Drosophila melanogaster: one gene and its partners. The protein of the gene in region 1 interacts with the protein of each later gene in a pairwise test. Each region holds a gene or a part of one and is shown on either strand. Other genes may lie near its edges. The genes, in order: unc-13, Liprin-alpha, Rbp and brp.

Region 1 (4,985 bases):
TGAGTTTCAAGAATTTTCAACTGTTCATCCAGATTGGAGTTATTTCTTAATAAATGTGCACTAAAACTGCTATCATTAGAATTATGGGATGGATTAAGGCTGTGAAATGTGGTCATATTTGCGTGTGAATTATCTATTTTAAAGTCATCCAATGAGCTGCCAACTAATTTTTTTAGAGTGTCAATATTTTTTTTTAACTTTTTTATTACCAGAACAAACTTTTCATTTGTGTTTGAAATGCAAAGCCTTTGCAGTTCTTCAGTAACAGTTAACGGATTAAGTAACAGCAAAGTCAACTTTTTATCGACCAGACTAATTTTTTGAAAAAACCTTTCTTCCGACCATACGGCATTTTGTAACTGACTCAATTGCGTTGCACTCAATGATTGTAACCCTTTAATTTTATTTATTTCCCCCAATAAAGTCTGTATTACGTTGTTTAACATTTTTCGTATATCATCTTTTAAATAACTGGTACTAATATGGTTGTCTGATTTATTTTCCGTTTCAGTTTGTTTTACACATGCATCTGAAAGTTTCGAACCCAATTCTTCAATGTCTCTCTTAATAATCTCTGTTGATTGTGCTTGTGCAAGGATACACTTTAGTTTATTAATCATATCCATTTCGTTTGTATGATGTTTTTTTTTTCTGTGCTTTCTTGGTTCTTTGTTCAAATGTTGGTTTGGCTCTGTTACGAGACACGCCTTTGCAGTCTGTAAAGGTTGTGTACCTGTAATAGCATTCACCCTCTGATTATTTAAAACTGGGGAAGAAGTTGACTGGTTTCGGATAAATGAGATGTGGTCATGTGTGGCCTCAGACTGATGTAGCAATGCATCAACCTTAAATATCTCAGAGCTCAATTCATTGTCTCGATAAGCCTCGTTTAGATTTTTATAAAAAGATTCGTCTACTTCATTAATATTAGCTGGACTTTCTGTTCCTCCAGTGTCTTCAATGGGTAAAACCTGATTTCCACCCTCGCCTGTTTTAGAGGCTGCTATTTGAAAAAAATTATTACTACTAGGGCTGACAAGTTCACAGGTTGACCGTCTCACGTATGTATCATCTATCTCACTTAACAGTGGTTCTCTAGGCTTTACAAGATTTTTATCCTTCTCAGAACTTTTTGACAATGCACCCGAGGATGCCGAAATCTCATTTAAAACTCGACGTCCATTTAAAAATTCTTTCATTAATTCGGCACGCGCGCTATTTGCTAGAAACTGCTGCCTCTCATATAACATAAGGTCAGAATCTGAGTAAAGTTTAGTTCTTGATTCCTTGTATGCTTCAAAATCCGATTGATTACCTTTTTGTTTTGGCTCGTAGCCTTTTTCAAAACCAAATTTTATTATCCCAATGTCTAAGTTTTTGCCATTGAAATCAATGTTTTCAAAATTTGGATGGGAATCTATTGCGTAAGCGGAATTCATAAGGTCTTCCGATTTAGTAGCTTGCGTATGTTTTGTTACAAAAGTTTTTTCATGATTTTCAAAAGTAAGATTCTTATCAAAGTCACGATTAGATGATTGGATATCTATATCTAATGTGTCTTCCATTTCCAACGGTAGCAATTGATCTTCATCTTGATATAAGGGTACTTTCATTCTTTCGATATCCACTTTTTGAAGTTCTTTTTTTGATGCGCCGATAAGATCCACAAGGTTGCCAACGACAGACTGTTGTTCTATTGATATGTTTTCAAGCTTTTCCAAACGAATCCAAATCTTTCCGTACTCCGTAGAAAGCAAATCCAATGCACGCCAAGCAAACTTCAGCTCTGTCTCGAGTAAACTGATCCTTGTTGCAATTTTATCCATATAATCGGAGATAATGTAGTCAGAGTGTTGCTCCGAATTGTAGCTCTGACACAACTGTTGTTCACTTTTAATCGATATCATACTTTCATTAGTATTTATGCTTGGATAACTTAAGTAAGAGAAATCCAATCCATTGGGCGACTTACTCATCGGTGGTTGCATTTCCGGTATTTGTGCTTTGGCAAGGTCAAAATCCATGTTGTGTTGGATAGAATTAAGGTGCCCCTGGCTTAAGAGCGGAGCTCTTACTGATCCGGCAGCAGAAGAGCTCAATAGTGACGACGCATAAATCGTTGATTGTTGCTGAAGTCGTAACTGCTCCTTTATTTTAATCTGGCTTTTGAGGGCATTTTCTGCAAAGATAAGCTTTTCCTGGGTGTTTATTTTGAGTTCCTTTTTAAGCAACTGACTTTTTTTTTCCGTATCCCCGGTCACTTGCAGCTGAGATGTGTTCATCATACCGTTAATTAGGGTTTTATTCGATGGATTAGTTTTGTTTTTACCTAAATAATTTTGTTTTTAAAATGTGTTTTAATGCTCTGTGTGGAATACATACGTTTATTTCAAAAGCCAATTTCGTCTGTAATACTGAATTGTTATATACATATGTACCTAAACAGCGTTAAGTGGTTGACGACAAAAAAAATACACATAACTATTAAAATTAGGTTCTTGTACTATGTATGTATGTGTATTTCAAAACGTATTTAGATAAAACCCGGTCTTAATTTCACTTCTAAGCACACTCAAAGTAAATAAAAATGCTTTTTAAATATGACCTATATTAGTTGTAACAAAATACACATGTGTCTGTTTGAAATTTACTTCAACTAAAAAACTTGTGCAATTAATTAACTAGTACCAAATGTGGTTTAATATTGGTAGGTTTTTCAATTATGCTTGTATGTACTGTAAAGGGGATCCTAAAATGGATGCGTTTATTAATTATTTGGTATCTGGGCTTAAGAGCGATTCCAGCTTTTTTTCTTTTTTATAAAAACAAAACTGTTTTATAGTCTTTCTGTGCACAAAATTATGTATATGCAATTTTTAACTAAAAGGCCTAAGCTTTTTTATCTGGCTTTCTTAATGTAAACGGTTTGAAACCACTACGAACAATTATTTGTGCTCTGCTAAGAATTAAAAAAACGTTGAAATTCACAGTACAATTTAGTAAATTCTTTGTTGCGCCTAGCTCCGTTTTCATGAAGCTACCAGCAAGTAAGCTTTGCGCGGATGACAGTTACACACTTAGAACTTTAGTTTTTAGTACACCATTGAAAAGCTTATGTATACAGAAAAAAGTCAAGTGTGGGTAAGACGGGAAAAATGTAAGAGAATATTTTTCTATCTATTGCGCATGCCTTAACCATTCTCTGTCAAACGCTCTTAAAGTTTTTGTAATAAACTGAACTTACTCCTTTTTTTATAATGTCACATCTAAGACCATTTATTAACCGTTTACAATTCGTAAACGGTTAACAGGTTTTCAGAATAATTACATCGAACGATTTTGTTAAGAGTTGCCTCGAAATATGTCAAATTAAGACCATTCAAATTAAAAGCTTTAGTCGTACTCCCTAATCAATTTTGAATAATTTTCAGGGGCAATACATTGCGTTATGTCAGAATTGTCTCAAGATCAAGTCCAATGGAATTCCCTTAAAAAGGAAATGACAAACATTAAATATTTAAGAACAATTTTGAAAGCTTTAGTCGAAAGTTTTGACTGTGACATGCCCATTGCTCAAGAAATGCGAGGAACTGTTTCCGTTATTTATCGAGCATCAATTTGCGGTCGTTACATGAATTGTTTAAAAGTTTTGAGTTAATGTTGCCATTCATTGAAACAGATATGAAATTTCTAAGATAAAACGGCGGTGTCTTATTTATACCGTTACAAAATCCTAAATTTGTTAGATTTGTGTTTATAAAATATATGGTGGTTATCAATTAGCAATAGGTCAGGGTGGACGATAAGCGTACTGGCGAAGCAAAGAAATAAAAATACTAGTAAAGGAAAGGCAACGAAAAAAACAACCAATACTTAAAAAAATTATATTCAGGAGAAAAATTATGTTTTTGGCGAATTTGTTAATATGAAAATTTTGTTTTTTTTTTTGTCTGTCTGCTCAATCCTAGTATGCATTTATTTATGTTTAAGTGCTTGACAGACAATACCACTTTTCGTAAAACCCTTAAAGCTGTATATACTTTAAAATTCCTTAAATTCGTCAATACATTTTCGTTAAAAAATTGTTAGGCAGCCAAAACAGCTTTTTACCCAACGAAAGAAGAAGTGGAAAAAATAACTGTTTAGGGTTTAAAAATAGAAGCATTGAACTGATCCTTGTCTGTTGTCAAAAGTATTTACACACAATTTTTACGCGTCAAAATTATTTACATACAGCTTTTTTAATTGTTTTTTGCGTTTTTTTTTCGTGGAGAACAGTCTATTTCCTGAGGTGAATGCGTGCTCATTTAAGATATGGAGGTATCCTGTTTGATTTATTGTACCCTCTATCGGTACCATGTCTCCAAATCCAAAGTAGCTTAAACAGCCCCAGAACATCACCGTGCCACCACCAAATCGATTGATTAGCTGGACGGCATTCAACCTTTAGTTTTTTTGGGAAATGCATAAATTTCTTGCTAAAGGATCTCTGAAACTGAAACCCAATTTCATCAGTCCATAAAACATCAAACCAGAACTCGATAGGCTTCTCTTTATACTCCAAGGCAAATGAGAGACGTTTTTCATAGGAGTTGATGTCAACTTCCTTCATTCTGCGACGCAGTGTACTATATGTTTTCCAATTAAATTTTTCGAAGCTGCGGCAATTAAAACGGGACTAATGGTGGGATTACTGAGTACAACTCCAATAATGTGTCTGCAGTCTTGGGTTCAATGCAACTTTTCGGCCAGGTTTCTTTTAATTTTCCAAATTTCCCAGTGTCCTTTTTTTTAACTAAATTGTACACAGTTTTACGTGATATTTTGTACAACTCAGCTAATTTGGATGCAGAAGAACCAGTCTTAAGTTTAGTGACAATCTCGACTCGATGCCCAACTGATAGCTCCTTTGTTTTTGCCATTTTACAAATTATATGCTTAGTTTTATCTATTAACTTACCTGTTAACAGTTAGTTTAAGTTCCA
Region 2 (4,705 bases), on another chromosome or scaffold:
GTCATGTTGGGTGTGATCGTCGAGTTTATCACCGCCTTGGTGCCCTCGACACTGATGATGCGGTACAGATTTCGCGAGCTGTCGTAGAAGAAGCTAACGTTGACCGCCTTCATGCTGGCCGTGATCCAGGTGCGCTTCGTCTTCGGATCGATGTGGAAGACGTGCGCCTGGCAGGTGAAAATCGGTTGTTCGCTAAGGGTCATAAAGGGATTAAAGCGACAAGCGTGTGATTAATTAAAAATTCCATTTAGAGCAGGCAATAAATTGTGCTTCTGTGCTCGTGTGAGTAAACTATGGCAAAGCATTCTTTTACTGTGGTTTATTAGTCAACAGGCACTGTGTAATGCATTTATAATTAGTAGTCCTTAAGTCCCAGGATAATCCTCGTGGTCCTTATTTGATAAAGTAGGTCGATATATGTTTGTTTTTTGCGATCTGGCCTGATGCAATGACAGTTTGTTGCGGGGCGCAGGGCCCCCATCAAATCAATTCCGTATCCGTGGTAGCCTCCAGTGCCTTTATTTGTACACATATACATATATATATCTTATCTATTACCTATCCGCCGACATCGTTCGCTGAGCTCTATAACTTGTGTCTTCCCGTTATCGCTGGCGACTGTCGACCGCCGACTAAATTGCATTATGTGCTAAGCCTTTTCCGCAGCCTTGCTTGTGATTTTTGATTCTCGGGCGGAAAACACGCACGCACACACCTGCACAGTCACACACACCTGCACACCCACACACATGTAATTGGCCTGCCCACGCGTGTGCGTGTGTAGGTGTATGTTTGTGTACATATATATGTATGTATTTACGCCGCCCGCTACACACAGAACGGCAGCAACAACAACAACATCATAGGGGGGAGATGTCAGCTAGTTCGGCGTCGATTTTTCCCACAGTAAAAACGGCAGGTTTAGGCCGGTTTGGCCGCGCCCATCGGTCTTACCCCATTGTATTCGTTCTTTGGCGCTGACTGAGTGCTTCCGCAGCAGTTTATACCAATGCTAGTCGGTTTTACTTATGAATTTCACGGTTAAAAAAAATAAAACACAAATGTCTAGAGCTGGAACCAAAATCGATGTTTGTATGGTGCTATCGATGTTTTTACTGGCTCAACACCATCGATGATTTATTTATTAGCTTCCAAGCATCGATAACACATGAGCTCGTATAAGAGCAATGATTCTTATCGAATAATTTAATCGCTGTAAAGCGAATTGCAAATTAATTAAGATAAATAAATACTAAATATGTTTGTCTGTAAGGCACCATAACAATGTAATTTTTTCAAAAACATGTGTAGCTGTTGAAGCATTGCATTTAAATGACGGAAGTTACAAAATAATTTCAGATAAAAGTGATAAGTTTTTTTGACTGTCTAGTTGTGCGCCTACATGTAGTTTGAATATTTGTTAGATATGGTTTTCTTTGTGCGGTGTGGCAGCATTAGTTTTAGTACACATTTTTCTAATACTTGACGATAGGTCAAATGGCAACTCCTGATCGGCAATAATATTTGCATATAATTTAGCTTTGAACATAAATAGACTGCCACAAAAACTTTAAAACAACACATTTTACTTCTATATTTTTTGGACGAAATAGAACCACTGAAAAAATTCATGAAATGTAGTACATTTTGTAGTGAAGAACCAGGGTTGGTTTACGGATTTTAGCCGTTTTGCCATCTGGTAACACTGACCAGTTTCTCATCGTTAAAAAATCCATTTGGAATTCGGTTTATTTAATTAAAAGCAGCCGGGACACCTATGCGAAGGGCAAAAAGCGGCCAGAGTTGTTGTTGCTGCTGCTGCCCAGCCGCCGTGCGATCGATCGGGGTACGTGTTCCGGCGTAACGAGGAGTACGAGGCGATTTTCTCGCAGCCTCTTTTTTTTCACACGAACGCCGTCCCACTAAACCGAAATTTCAGGTGAAAAACTCATTGGAACGCATTTAAAAGCGGCGTAAGCTCGCACCTGCTGCTCGTTTAACCCTGTTTCGGGTATATGTGATTGCAAAATGCGACAGCGACACACCTAGGCACACAAAATATGCCAGTTATGCGAAAGAGAAAAAGTACTGTGCCTGTGTGCGTGCGCGTGTGAGTGTGTATGCCGTGCGTGTGCCCCCGCCTGCGACAGTGTGCGTATGTGTTGGTGTAGAAAACTTGTTATCAATGCGGCGCCTATGATAAGTCTCATTAGACATGTTTCTCCCACTATGCTGGGTATTTCAATTGGAATGGCTAGCGAACGTGTGTGTGTGTAGTAAAATATCCGGACTCCATAGAATGGACATTTTGTATGAATTAATTGAATTTACTTTATAAATTCAATTAACATAAAGAATTTGATTTTATGCAGAAGAAGCTACAGCATTAAGTATCTCCCATATGCGGAATCACAGACAAAAATTCAATCACGCCAATTCATTTATGATCAAGGATCAAATTCAAGAAACTTTAGAAAAACGCGTCTAGTTTTTGTGCTTCGGTAACAGCGATAGTGGTACAATCTCCGCACAAAATGTACCTACAGCCAAAATCCTGTAACCTTTATTCCCCTCTCTGTCTCGCACAGTCTGGCGGCCCCAACTAAATAATGTGGAACATGATGTGCGACGTAATGCCCACGATATCCGAGGATAGCATCTCGCAGCGCTCCTCGCAGTTTAGCGGGGAGGATGCCAACTTTGAGCAGCTGATGGTCTCCATGCTGGACGAGCGGGACAAGCTGATGGACAGCCTGAGGGAGGCGCAGGAGCGGCTTAACGAGACGGAGAACAAGCTGCGTGACGTCGAGAAGGAGCGGGACAGCCTGCAGCGACAGATTAACGCTAATCTGCCGCAAGTAAGTGGCCTCTGCATGCTGATACCGCAGTTTACCTAAAATCTTTTCCTGATCTTTCTAGGAGTTTGCCACCCTGACCAAGGAGCTGACGCAAGCGCGGGAGACCCTTTTGGAACGTGACGAGGAGATTGGGGAGCTCAAGGCGGAGAGGAATAATACCAGGGTAAGTGATTTTCGAAAATTTAGATCCTTGGTATTTCAATTACTGAGACAATTGAGTAATGGTTAGATCAGGTAGATCATGACAAGATTTGCTAGACTAATTTATTAATTTAGGTATTATAGCCATTGCTAAATTACATATCCCATTGTTATTCAAACAAGAAACAGTTGTAGGTACTTGCTTTTGCGAATTAGTCACATATACCGGGAACAATACAAAAGTTTACTCTGTCCGTCTTCATTTTTATTTCGAACATGGCTTGTCTATTTGTTTACTTATCAGTGACTATACAAACATTGTTACAGCCTTTTAAGAATTAGTTCTTTGTATTCACATCCGTCTTAAACCATAAAAAGTGAAGTAAACTGTATTTATAAGTCCTTTCCGCTTCATTGAATATCAAGAAAATCAGTTTTAATTAAATTTCTACGGTAATTTTACTTTTAAAGAGACAATTTAAACGTCGGTTACTGCGTGAAATAATATATTTTTAATGATCTAACTTGACTATTTCAGCTTCTCCTCGAACATCTGGAGTGCTTGGTGTCCCGCCACGAGCGTTCCCTGCGTATGACCGTTGTGAAGCGACAGGCTGCCGCCCAGAGCGGCGTCTCCAGCGAGGTGGAAGTGCTCAAGGCGCTAAAGTCGCTGTTCGAGCACCACAAGGCGCTGGACGAGAAGGTGCGCGAGCGGTTGCGGCTTTCCATCGAGAAGAACAACATGATGGAAGAGGAACTCAGCTCTGCCAAGGAGGAACTGGCCCAGTACAAGGCGGGCGTGGTGCCAGCTGGCGTGGGCAGTGGCAGCGGAGCAGGGAGTGCCGCAACCACCGCCGGTGGTGGGGGCGCCGAGAACGGGCTCAAAGAGAAGGTGCGTTCCACATTCGAAATGCAGTCAAGCATGTCCGGTTTAATATATCTCTTCTATTTTCCAATACCCTAGATGGCGGGCGTGGGCGGATCTGGTGGCGTTAATGGCGAGGCAAATGAGCTGAACGACTACGCAGCCAAAACCCACGAGCTGCAAACCATTATTGAGAAGCAGGTGAAGATTGCGGATCTGTTTCCAGTCTGCATATGGTGAACACTTTTTAAAACGCTCTTTCCTTGTCAGACCTCGGAACTTTCACAATGGCAGCGACGCGTTTCTGATTTGAACAACAAGATTAGTGAGCTTGAGGAGAACATGTCGCGAGTGCAAAAGGAACACTGCAAGGCCCAAGACCAGTGTGCCAAGCTGCAGCGGGATCTGCGCGAGAATGTTGCCCAGAAAGAGGATCAGGTGAGTGAATAATACTCACAGCATGGTTTCAGTTTTTTACTTATACGTTCATTTTTAGGAGGAGCGCATTACCACATTGGAAAAGCGATACCTGAATGCTCAGAGGGAGTCTACATCGTTGCATGATCTCAACGAGAAACTCGAGCAGGAACTACGGCATAAAGAGGCGCAGCTCAAGGTGGGTAAAACCAAGGAAATTACAGCTTATGGTTAAGGCAGGCATACATATCTTTACTTTTATTCATGAGGATCGATTTTTTTTTATTATATTTCGATAAGCGCACAGTCCATTTGTTCAAAAAAATCCATTGATTACTCATTACCTTACTGTAAAGTTATTTCCAATTGAATAGCAGATAAATTTTTCATGATCTTACAAGTCAAGCAATTATCGCTAGTATGC
Region 3 (4,771 bases), on another chromosome or scaffold:
GGAGTAAATTAAATGGAAAATTCCCATTCACTCGGAACTGAGGCACGTTATCTAACAGGGAGAAAGCAGGGAATTGGGAAGGTAACCTCTGCCAGCACAGTATCTTTATTTCCGCACAACGTGCCGTATGCGTAATATCATTTACAACTGCAAGGCGACTGTCTAGTGAAATATACAAAAAGTCGTAATTAAAACAATATTCGTTGACTATTCGTGGTTGGAAAAAAACGCCACAAAGAAATGAAACGAAATATTCCTGCCAACTTTGTTGGCCCCAAACTTCGACAAACTAATTTAAAAACTTTGTTGCGTTTTTGGTTTTTGGCGCGCAGCAACTTTGATTTACTTTGAAATGAAGTGCCCAGAAAACCAAGAAAAAAAAGCGGGAGAACAAAAGTTGCAACTGCAAAATGGCAATTTCCACCTTGTGTGTTGACAGACAAGTTTGCAAAGAAAGGCAATTAATTAGCATCCGGAATCGGTTGCCTTGGCAAACTCACGAAAAATGCAAAAAGTTGGCCATACCAAGCTAATATTTACATATTCTCCAGCAAAGGTCGGTGAAAGTTTTAAAGCACCATTGTCTGCTCTTCGATGCCCTAATGAGCTGTCGTTCAATTAATTGAATGCTCACACACTTGGGCCATAACAATCAAGTGCTTCTAATTGCAGCAATTATAGCCGACGAAGGCAGGGGCCAACAGCCATTGCCAACAATTACATGCATAAATAGTCGACAATGTGCTCGAGAATATGACGAGTGGCAAGTCCTAAAAATAACACTGCGAGCAGAAACTTTTTAAAGTCGAGCAATTACAATTACAATTACATTTAAGATGTTGGGAAAAGTTCATTATCCTGCTGCTGGCATGACCTCAATCGCAGAGCCAAGGAAAAAAGCGAACCAGAACACGAGCACAAAAACTATCTTGCCTATTTATAACAAGCTGCTCACACACAGGCACACACACAGACCCACGAATTTCGTCGCTTCTGGCGCTGAAATACTATAGAAAAAAACCATAGCACAGTTATGGGGTGGAAAACCAAACCGCCAAACCGGGAAATGGGAAGTGGTTCGGAGAGAAGCAGGGGGATCCCCGCCTGTGGACATCTCATGGTCGCAGTTTGGCTGGCAGCCCAGCATATAAATTATTGAATGATTGCCATCTGTCAAAATTGGCCAAACTCAACGATTAATCCTGCTCGGAAAAATCCAATAAAATCATAATGGCTTTTCTTTTCAAGCCGTTCTTTATATTTTTCAACACGGGGGATCTTTCTGTTGGCTTAAAGGAAAATTCAATTGAATAGTTGCACATTTGAGTTCTTCATGTATTAAATACATATGCAACATGTTAATTTAAATTTGGCCAATTATGTTTTAATTCATCTACAGAAAAAACTACATATTTATAGAAGGAAGCTATGAAGACTTTCTTTTCATAATAAGCCCGTCTAGGTTGTGATAATGTTGTATTAAGTATCCGCAACGTGTACCAGGCCATCGACGCGTGACTTTCGATCATTGCAGTGGAAACTGAGTACAGTGGGCTATAAATATATACGAAATACGTGAAAGCATTCAATCGGTGGAAAGTGCTGTTACGGGTATTAAAACACCGCTCCAGAGAAGGTAACGGTAACCGCATGCACGCTGTAGATACCTTTAGTGTACATATATATGTATGCATATGTACATGCATACGTACATACACACGAACGTGTGTGGTGGGTGTACACTGTATGTAGTATGTGTGTTACGCACGCAGCAGCAAACAACTTTAACATTGTTGTTGCGCAGGCTGTGGGACAAGTGTGAAGTGAAAACCGCCCCCAGAGTGCGAACCCAAAAAGTGGGACTTTTCTGCTGCTGCTGCTGCTGGTGCTGCTGGAAGCTTATGAATATGAAACGCTCACACACACATGCTGCTCCTGCCGTTGTGGCACTTGCAGTGGTATTGGTGCTGCTCCAGTTTCGTTGGCCATTTACATCTACTTTACTTACATGCCTCTCGCTCTTTTCGCTTTCTCTGTATGTGTGTGGCGGGTGTATGCGTGAGTGTGTGTGGGTGCGCGCTTTTTTGTGCCAAAATGTAGCTGAACTCTGCTTTTAGCCAATTTCTCCGATTTTATTTAGGCATTTTTCTATAATTTCGGTTTCATTCACCATTTCGCCTGCCTCGGTTTTACAGTGATTACCCGCATTTGCATATTGTATATGCATCAGCATGTGGGCGAGTATGTATATGTATATGTTTGGATATATGTATGCATGTGAGTGTGTGTGGGAGAGTGTAGTTTTACGCTGGCTGCTCTTTTTCGTATTTTTTTTTTTTTTTTGCCTTTATCGATATGCTTACACTTTTACTTTTCACTGTCCCACCATTTTCCCGGAATCATTATATCTTTCACTGGATTTTTTAACTGCACTCGCGGCGAGCTTTTTCACGTTATTGGCGAGAAAATGAAATTTTCACGCAGCAGCGGTGCTGTTGGGCAAACATTTGGTGTACAGCGAAATTTTTCGTGAGCTCGCTCGCTCGCATAACAGCTCTTTTTTTCAGCTTGCGCAAAATAAGTATTTACCACGCGATTTTGACACTTTTTGCTTAAACTGCGGTTTTCGTTTTCGGAAGCACAGGATTTTATCCTTTCTTTTTGGGTTAACTTTTTGTAATATTTTGTATTCGGGGGCTTTTGAACGGGTTGCGAACCTTTTTTGCTGCTTGTGCTTCTGCTTCTTGCTTGCTGCTGCTGCTGCTTTTTCAGGTCGCCTGTTTTCCTCTTCCACGTTTGCGCTGGGAAATTCACATAAATGCATATAGTTTACACTAGGCTACGTAGGCTGTACATAATATATCCGAAAAACGCGATCGTTTCACTGCTACTATATAGAAAAAAACTCCGCCTAGTTGTCCACTTTCTGTGGGTAGTAGCAGTTGGGTCTCAGTGCGAATACCGAAAAGTGGGTCATCTCGGTCGCGCTGCTGGCGCACTCTGATTTCTACCCAACTGCCAGCTCGGTGCTCAGTGTGCCAGAGCAGAGTGGCCCAGAGAACCCAGAGCCGAGCACTCAGTACCCAGTGCCCACTATTCAGTGTGCGGGGAATCGATTTTTCTGCCAAATGACACTGAAAAACGGGCAATTCTCTCCCGCTCTCAGAAGGACTCCTTTGGGGTTGCAACTGGGTAAATTTCTGCTCAGGGCCTGTTATTGGGGGTTTACTATTACTTTTGGCTGTTATCCGTTAACAGCGCTGTCCTCTGTTAACGACATGTGCGTGTAAATCTGAGATTTTGATTTCAGTTTACCAATCTCTGATTTTCGAAATCAATTCTCGGGTAATATAAAACAATTATTTCCACATCATACCACACCTAATACTATAAATTATAAAGTAATTTTACGTAAATTGGTTAAATATGAAACACTCTTTTCAATTTTGGAATATAAATACATTTATTTGTCGTTTTCTTTTCGCTATGTCTACATTATGAGTTTGTTGCCGTTCTTTTACTTTTGCTTAGTGTTCGATTTTCATATAACATTTTATTAATTAAAATAATTTTTTCTCCATCCTGTTGATAGTGCTGTCGGCCACTAATGTCTTTCGCTTTCGCAGTTTTCAAATAGAACATATCATTAAGTAAAAGATTATTATGTATAGTGTTTAAATTTCAAACTCTAACAATTAAAAACAGTTAAAAATTTAAGTGTTCCGTTAATGTTTTTGTTTGTCATCTCCCCGTAGTACATACATTTCCTGTTTCTCGTTTTTTTTCCACTAATTTTAAATTTATTCGTAGGCGCTTCTCCTAAACAAAAACAAACTAGCCGATGTTGTTTGTTAACAGAAAAAGAATGAATTATTTACAATAAATTGTAAACGAAAAATAAACTCTCGCACACATCGTCCGTCTCCATAAATAGTTGCTCACTAGTTAATTACAATGCTTAGGCTTCGCAAAATTTTGTGTCCGAGTATGTGTAATACATATGTATATACGATATAAATTAGGCCTATTTATTTAGTTACAACAGATTTTCATTTACGTTCAAACATTTAACTTGGACTGCGTCGGGCGATTTTGTATTTAAGTGTGTTGAGTTTATTTGATTTGTTTCGGTCTTGGTATGTTAAATGGTTATTTAAACATAAAATTAAAATGCCACTAATTAATTAATTTGCCATAATTAAAGGATTTAATTCTCTACTCGCATTTACTCTTAACTGTCAGCATTATTTGATTCGTTTGCCGTATTAGAAAAAGTGCACTTATGAATACTGCATTCGGTCTGAAAATAGATAAAATAAAAGAGAATCGGTTAGAAAATCCTTGCTGAAGCAATTTGAATTAGTAATGCAATTTGGCCCCAATTTCATGAAAAGGTCAGCGGTAATAGCCATTAGTACGTAATCGAAGCAATTTACAATTTAAAATGGGCGGGGGTCCGGCTTAATATCCGCCCCTCAGAATCTCCGGCGCAAAATGATAAACCAAACAATACCCGGAATGCCAATGGAATGACATCATCTCAACGGTTGGCCCGAAACGATAAGAAACCAGATATGAGCCGATTTAAAGAAACCGGCTGTCATGGCGTCGCAGCGTATCGTTTGATAACACATATAGTAAATAATCACTGCAGGTGATTCTTAATACTTACTGTCCTTCTTTGAAGTACTCCTTCAGCGTTGTGCTGAACTTCTTGGAATATTTGACGAACTCCTTCTTACGCTGCTCCACAGCCTGCTTGCCCGTTACG
Region 4 (4,812 bases), on another chromosome or scaffold:
AGAATGGGGACATAAAAAGATGGAGGAAGCGCAGCAGATGAGGTCAGGATATGGCAGACAGGCCATAAAATATCAGGCCCAGATTCGATTACATCGCCATGCCATTAGGGAGCCCCAGGCAGTGCACTTTGCTGGGCAAACATATCCAGATATATACTGCCATACTGCCAGATGTATGTAGATGCGGAGAGCGGGAGACGGATTGCACTTCTAGCTGCATACTTGGGGGACCTGGAGCTGAAGCTGAAACTGGAAGCCACTACGATTGTTGTCCGTCCGGAGGCCATCTTATCAGGCTATCTGCTCCGGGGGCCTCCACCCCAAAACAAACATGTTGAATAGCTTCCGAAAAAACGAGAGGCGTCCCCGGAGAAAGCCGGAGAGAGAACTCACCACACTGGGAGGCTAGTGCGCAAATGCGTGCCATCTCACCAGCGCACTTCCCTTTCTCCTCTCGCCTTTCTCCGTTCCTCTGGCTGCTTTCTCCATTCGCTCCCGCTCACAACAATAGCGTCATCGTAAAATATTTGCCGTATTTTGTTGTTACCACTGCCCCAATATATGGATTGGCGGCGTTTTCTTCGCCCGCACACACACTGACTCTCACAACAGACACACACAGACACTGACTCAGACCACATGTAAAATAAGGTTGAAATTTGAAATCAATAAAAGTTATTCGGCTGATCTAAAATTAGAGCAAGCAACTCAAATAACAGCCGAAAGAAGTAAATAATAAAGGCAAACACCGCATCATTGACACGCAAAGGAGGTGATTGGGCCGGCCCCCAAAAAAGCTGAACAAAAAACTGACAAATCATGCGAGCAAATCGAATGCGTCGAGCCTGCCCCACAAGGCACCATCCACATATCTAATTATAAGTTTTCAAATTGCTTGCCAATCTCCGGATGATTGATTGATTGAACGGGGCGTATGGGTAATGCATGGAGAACAGACTAAAATTACTCGCTAAACTAAGTTACTCGACTACGTTCTAGGACTGCAACTAGGTCTAGATAATCGGGGATCGTATTTTATATTCAGCTGGACATATTCATCGGTAAAATCACAAGAAAGAAATCACAACAGATACGTACAGGAGATAAAGAAGTTACACAGAGAGAACAAAGGCAGGCACAAAAACAGATTACTTATAACTGATTACGATTAAATTATGGCGGCTCCTGTTACACAAGGCATACGCACAAATCAGAAATCAATATCGCTTATGGTTCACATCACAAATTGAAGTTTTTGCCGTGTTTCTTTGGTTGTGTGTGCGTTTATGTGTGTGTATCTCAGTGTCAGTGTGGGTGTCGTTACGTATACGTAATACGGTTAAATAGCTCACCCGCTTTGCTTAGGCGATGAATTTTGAATGATTTTCCTTAACGAACTGCGGGCGAATGAAAAACTGGCTAAGCTAGCTGCTGCTCCTGCTACTGCACCTCCTCGTTCGTTTAATCCTCTTGCTCCTGCTCCTGCTCCTGCTGCTGCTCCTCGACTTCCGCTTCCGGTTTTCAGAGCCCGCACACACTGACGCACTCGCGCTGCAACTACATGTGTGTGTGGGCGATTTGTTGCTCGTCTTTATGGCCGTTGCCAATGCAATGGTGCTGGTGACTGCGATTGTGATTGTGTTTGTGGTTGTTGTCAGGCGGCTCAATGGGCATTTCCGGTTCCGGTCGGCTAGCTGCTTGCACTAATTTAGTTGATGACACTGGCTTAGTTAGTTTGTTGACTTTCGTGGCGTGCGCTCGCTGGCTAATTGCATTTTGTGTTTATGATTTAAACGGCTTTTGTTTTATGTACATGGCTGTGTGGGAGGATAATTAAACCGCGTGAGTTTCCAGCTAAACTAATTAAAGTCTTCATTCACTGAGTGGGTTTTTTTGTGTTTCATTTATTTTTCCAAGTGGTTTGGTGGCTTCGTGCCCAACGAGGATATTTTTTACACTCGTTCCCGCTGACACACATTCGAGCCCAACACACACACACACACACACACACAGGCACAGCAAACACAGCGATACGGAGAGATAGGGAGTTGAAGAGTGCTCCGCAAAATGGAGTGGAGAGTGTTCTACGCACGAGTTACGCTCACGAACAACGTAAGGTTCGACGTAACGAAAGGGGATTGTGGGGGGAGTGGCGTGTGGCGAGGGGCGAGGGGCGGTGGAGCTGAGCGGGTGGTTTGGGTGGCTCAACATTATGCTGGCACCCCACCTTCCGTCACTTCATTCGCTCGGCTCTAGGCTCTGTTATACAGCTTATAGCTTTTCAAACTTAATGTCTCTTTGTAGGCGTATGCGTATGTGTGTGTGTGTGTGTGTGAGTGCGGTTTTGTGGGTGTGCGAATGCGAGTGTGTGTGTATAACTCGCATGGCTTATATGTAGGTTGAAGCAATTTATAATAATTTTTTTTTGCTTTCGCCCCAATCGATAGGCAGCGTTTAGTGGGACAGATGACTCCTTTTGATTGACAGTGTGTGTTTGTACGTTGGTCTTTCACACTGATATACTATACACAAATGCACATTTGTATATATATATACGTATAAAGGGTGTGTGTGAAATGGTTCCTTGAGTTTGTCACACGATTTTGAGCGCTATAGGCGGCTTTTTGGCCAGCTCGATTTGCTTTTAACTCGCTTTTTTCGCACTTTTTGCAGGAAATCACTTTTCTGTATCCAGGGAGCAGCCTCTAGCGCTAGTGCTGCCATTCACGCACACTCACTCACTCGCACACATACACACACACTAACGGGGACTTTATGCATTTGATCGAAGCACTTTTCGCCAGTCAATGGAATTTTCTCGCGCTATTCTTTCACTTTTCTCCGCTGCGAATGCAATTAAGTTGGACTTTTCTTGGCCTTATACATTTCTCGGCCAGATACATATACTGCGCGTGTGTGTATGTGTGTGTGCATGCGGGAGTGTATTGGTATTCGTGTCTATGTGTGTTCCTAACCCAAAAATGTATTGTGCGGCAGCTGAGGTGGCCCGTTTTCGGCAACGCCGTTGTCCAACTAACTACCCTCAAAGAACTGAGCACGGCTCGTGCAAGCCAGTTGCTAATATAGTCGCCGATTCGCTGGCAAGTGGTGAGTTTTCCAACTTTTCCTTACCGACCACCCTCTGCTTTCCTCCTGGCCTAGGCATAGGGAGAGCTAGCCGGAGAGCGCGCGATTGCAATCAATGAATTTTCCTTTCGGCGCTCGCGCAGTTCAGTGAGTGCTGGCATCTCGAGCTGCCAGCTTAATGGATTCCGGAATTCCAATACCAAAATATGGAGCCAGCGCATTGCGTTACGCTAAACGAATGTGGGTCTTACGTATTGCTCCACATTCAGCGTTGGCAATGCTGCGCGCCAACTATTCAAACCGCCCTCAAAATTAGACTATGAACTCGTTGGTTTTAGGAACAGTTTTCTATAAGAACAGATTATAGATTCTTAAAGATTTGGATTTCATTATTTTGGAAACTATTTTTAAGGAATAAGAAATCTGAAACAGCAGACTGAATGTATCAGCTCACCTAGATTAGCTTTTTTGCAGAAGGTTCTTTTCTAAGAAAACTTAAATACTTATTTGAATTATACGAACTTAATAATAAGACAGTATTCGTTGGGGATGTTAACTTGTTACGTTTATTCTGGAATGTGTCTGTATGGTGGCGCGGTGCGTATCTGCGGTTGTAATACATTTCTCATAATACTTAATCAACGCATTTCCTATGACATAGCCCTAGTTCTAGCGATATGCTCCCGCTACCCGTCTATTTACAGGTGAACTCCTCGTAGCTCTCGTCGCACTCGTCACACTTGACCTCGCAGCACCAGCGGAATTGGCAGCGGCACTGCGTGGTCCTTCGAATGTGCTGCGTGTTGTGGCCACGCCCACAGCAGAGCAGATCGCAGCTCTGGGGGCCGTGGCCGGTCCGCTGGCAGGTCCGACCTGAGGTGCCCTGGCTGCCCGTCTGCAGACTTCGCTCGCAGTAGTTGGGCGACGCCTCCAGGTAGATCAGCTCCATGCGCTTCGGCCAATCGAGGACCGGTTTCTGGGCACGAGCGGTGCCGGCATGCTTCTTTCTGCAAGAAATTAAAAGTGGAAAGAGGTATGTGTTAATATGTGGGATCGAAAATGTGTTGATATTATACCGTGCTACAGAAGGCACAGCAAACATATTGCATTTAAAAAGGACTTAATGACTACTATGTGTTTTATTCTTTTTAGAAGAATACTTATTTAGCCATTAGATTATTGCCTACATATCATGCAACATCTTGCAAGATTCCCATTTCTCACCTGCTTAATACTAATCTCAGTCCACGTTTGCCTTTGACGGCTTGAACAGTTTTGGCTTTTTGATACTTCAGCATGAGTCTATCGCCAACCAGTCGAAAGGGCGGCAGGCTCTTCCAGCAGGTCTTCATCACGCAGGAGCCACTGACGCCATGGCACTTGCAGTCCGTGCGCAGCATCTTCTTGACCAGCTGATAAGAGAAAAACATAACTATTAACTAGGCCATATTTATTATTAAATTTTATGCATGCGCACCGTTCTCCCTGCTCGGTTATTGTGCAGGTTCATCAGCGTGCGGGAGTCGCGCTCCAATTCGCGGGCATCCATGAATCTGCGCGCATACCGCATCCCAAAGTCCACGTCCGCCGAGCAGCCGCCCCACTTCCAGGGCTCGTCGGGCGTACCGCCGCCAGTGGGCGTGGCTTTGTGCCGCACATCACAGCCGCAGGTGGAGATGTTGCCGCGGGCACAGGCGGCGGTCACCGCGTACGCCGCTCCGGCAC

The links.
Region 2: the proteins of unc-13 (region 1) and Liprin-alpha interact in a two-hybrid assay, tested with the Drosophila melanogaster proteins (one study listed by BioGRID).
Region 3: the proteins of unc-13 (region 1) and Rbp interact in a two-hybrid assay, tested with the Drosophila melanogaster proteins (2 studies listed by BioGRID).
Region 4: the proteins of unc-13 (region 1) and brp interact in a two-hybrid assay, tested with the Drosophila melanogaster proteins (one study listed by BioGRID).

Annotation. Positions count from the first base shown.
Region 1 is NC_004353.4:890,512-895,496, forward strand, and holds the start of unc-13 (unc-13), read right to left. Parts: upstream 3,055-4,985; 5' UTR 2,994-3,054; intron 2,439-2,993; 5' UTR 2,383-2,438; intron 2,330-2,382; 5' UTR 2,286-2,329; coding exon 1-2,285.
Region 2 is NT_033779.5:6,722,239-6,726,943, forward strand, and holds the start of Liprin-alpha (Liprin-alpha), read left to right. Parts: upstream 1-1,664; 5' UTR 1,665-1,846; exon of another isoform or gene 1,847-1,939; 5' UTR 1,940-2,155; intron 2,156-2,588; 5' UTR 2,589-2,609; coding exon 2,610-2,858; intron 2,859-2,919; coding exon 2,920-3,021; intron 3,022-3,537; coding exon 3,538-3,891; intron 3,892-3,963; coding exon 3,964-4,065; intron 4,066-4,134; coding exon 4,135-4,302; intron 4,303-4,360; coding exon 4,361-4,480; intron 4,481-4,705. Other genes in the region: homer, read right to left, coding at 1-192, 559-572.
Region 3 is NT_033777.3:15,372,915-15,377,685, reverse strand, and holds the start of Rbp (RIM-binding protein), read right to left. Parts: upstream 3,052-4,771; 5' UTR 2,825-3,051; coding exon 2,718-2,824; exon of another isoform or gene 2,009-2,717; intron 1-2,008. Other genes in the region: Ccm3 (cerebral cavernous malformation 3), read right to left, coding at 4,216-4,300, 4,673-4,771.
Region 4 is NT_033778.4:9,502,009-9,506,820, reverse strand, and holds the start of brp (bruchpilot), read right to left. Parts: upstream 3,057-4,812; 5' UTR 2,976-3,056; intron 1,818-2,975; 5' UTR 1,353-1,817; intron 1-1,352. Other genes in the region: Wnt2 (Wnt oncogene analog 2), read right to left, coding at 3,782-4,094, 4,312-4,499, 4,565-4,812.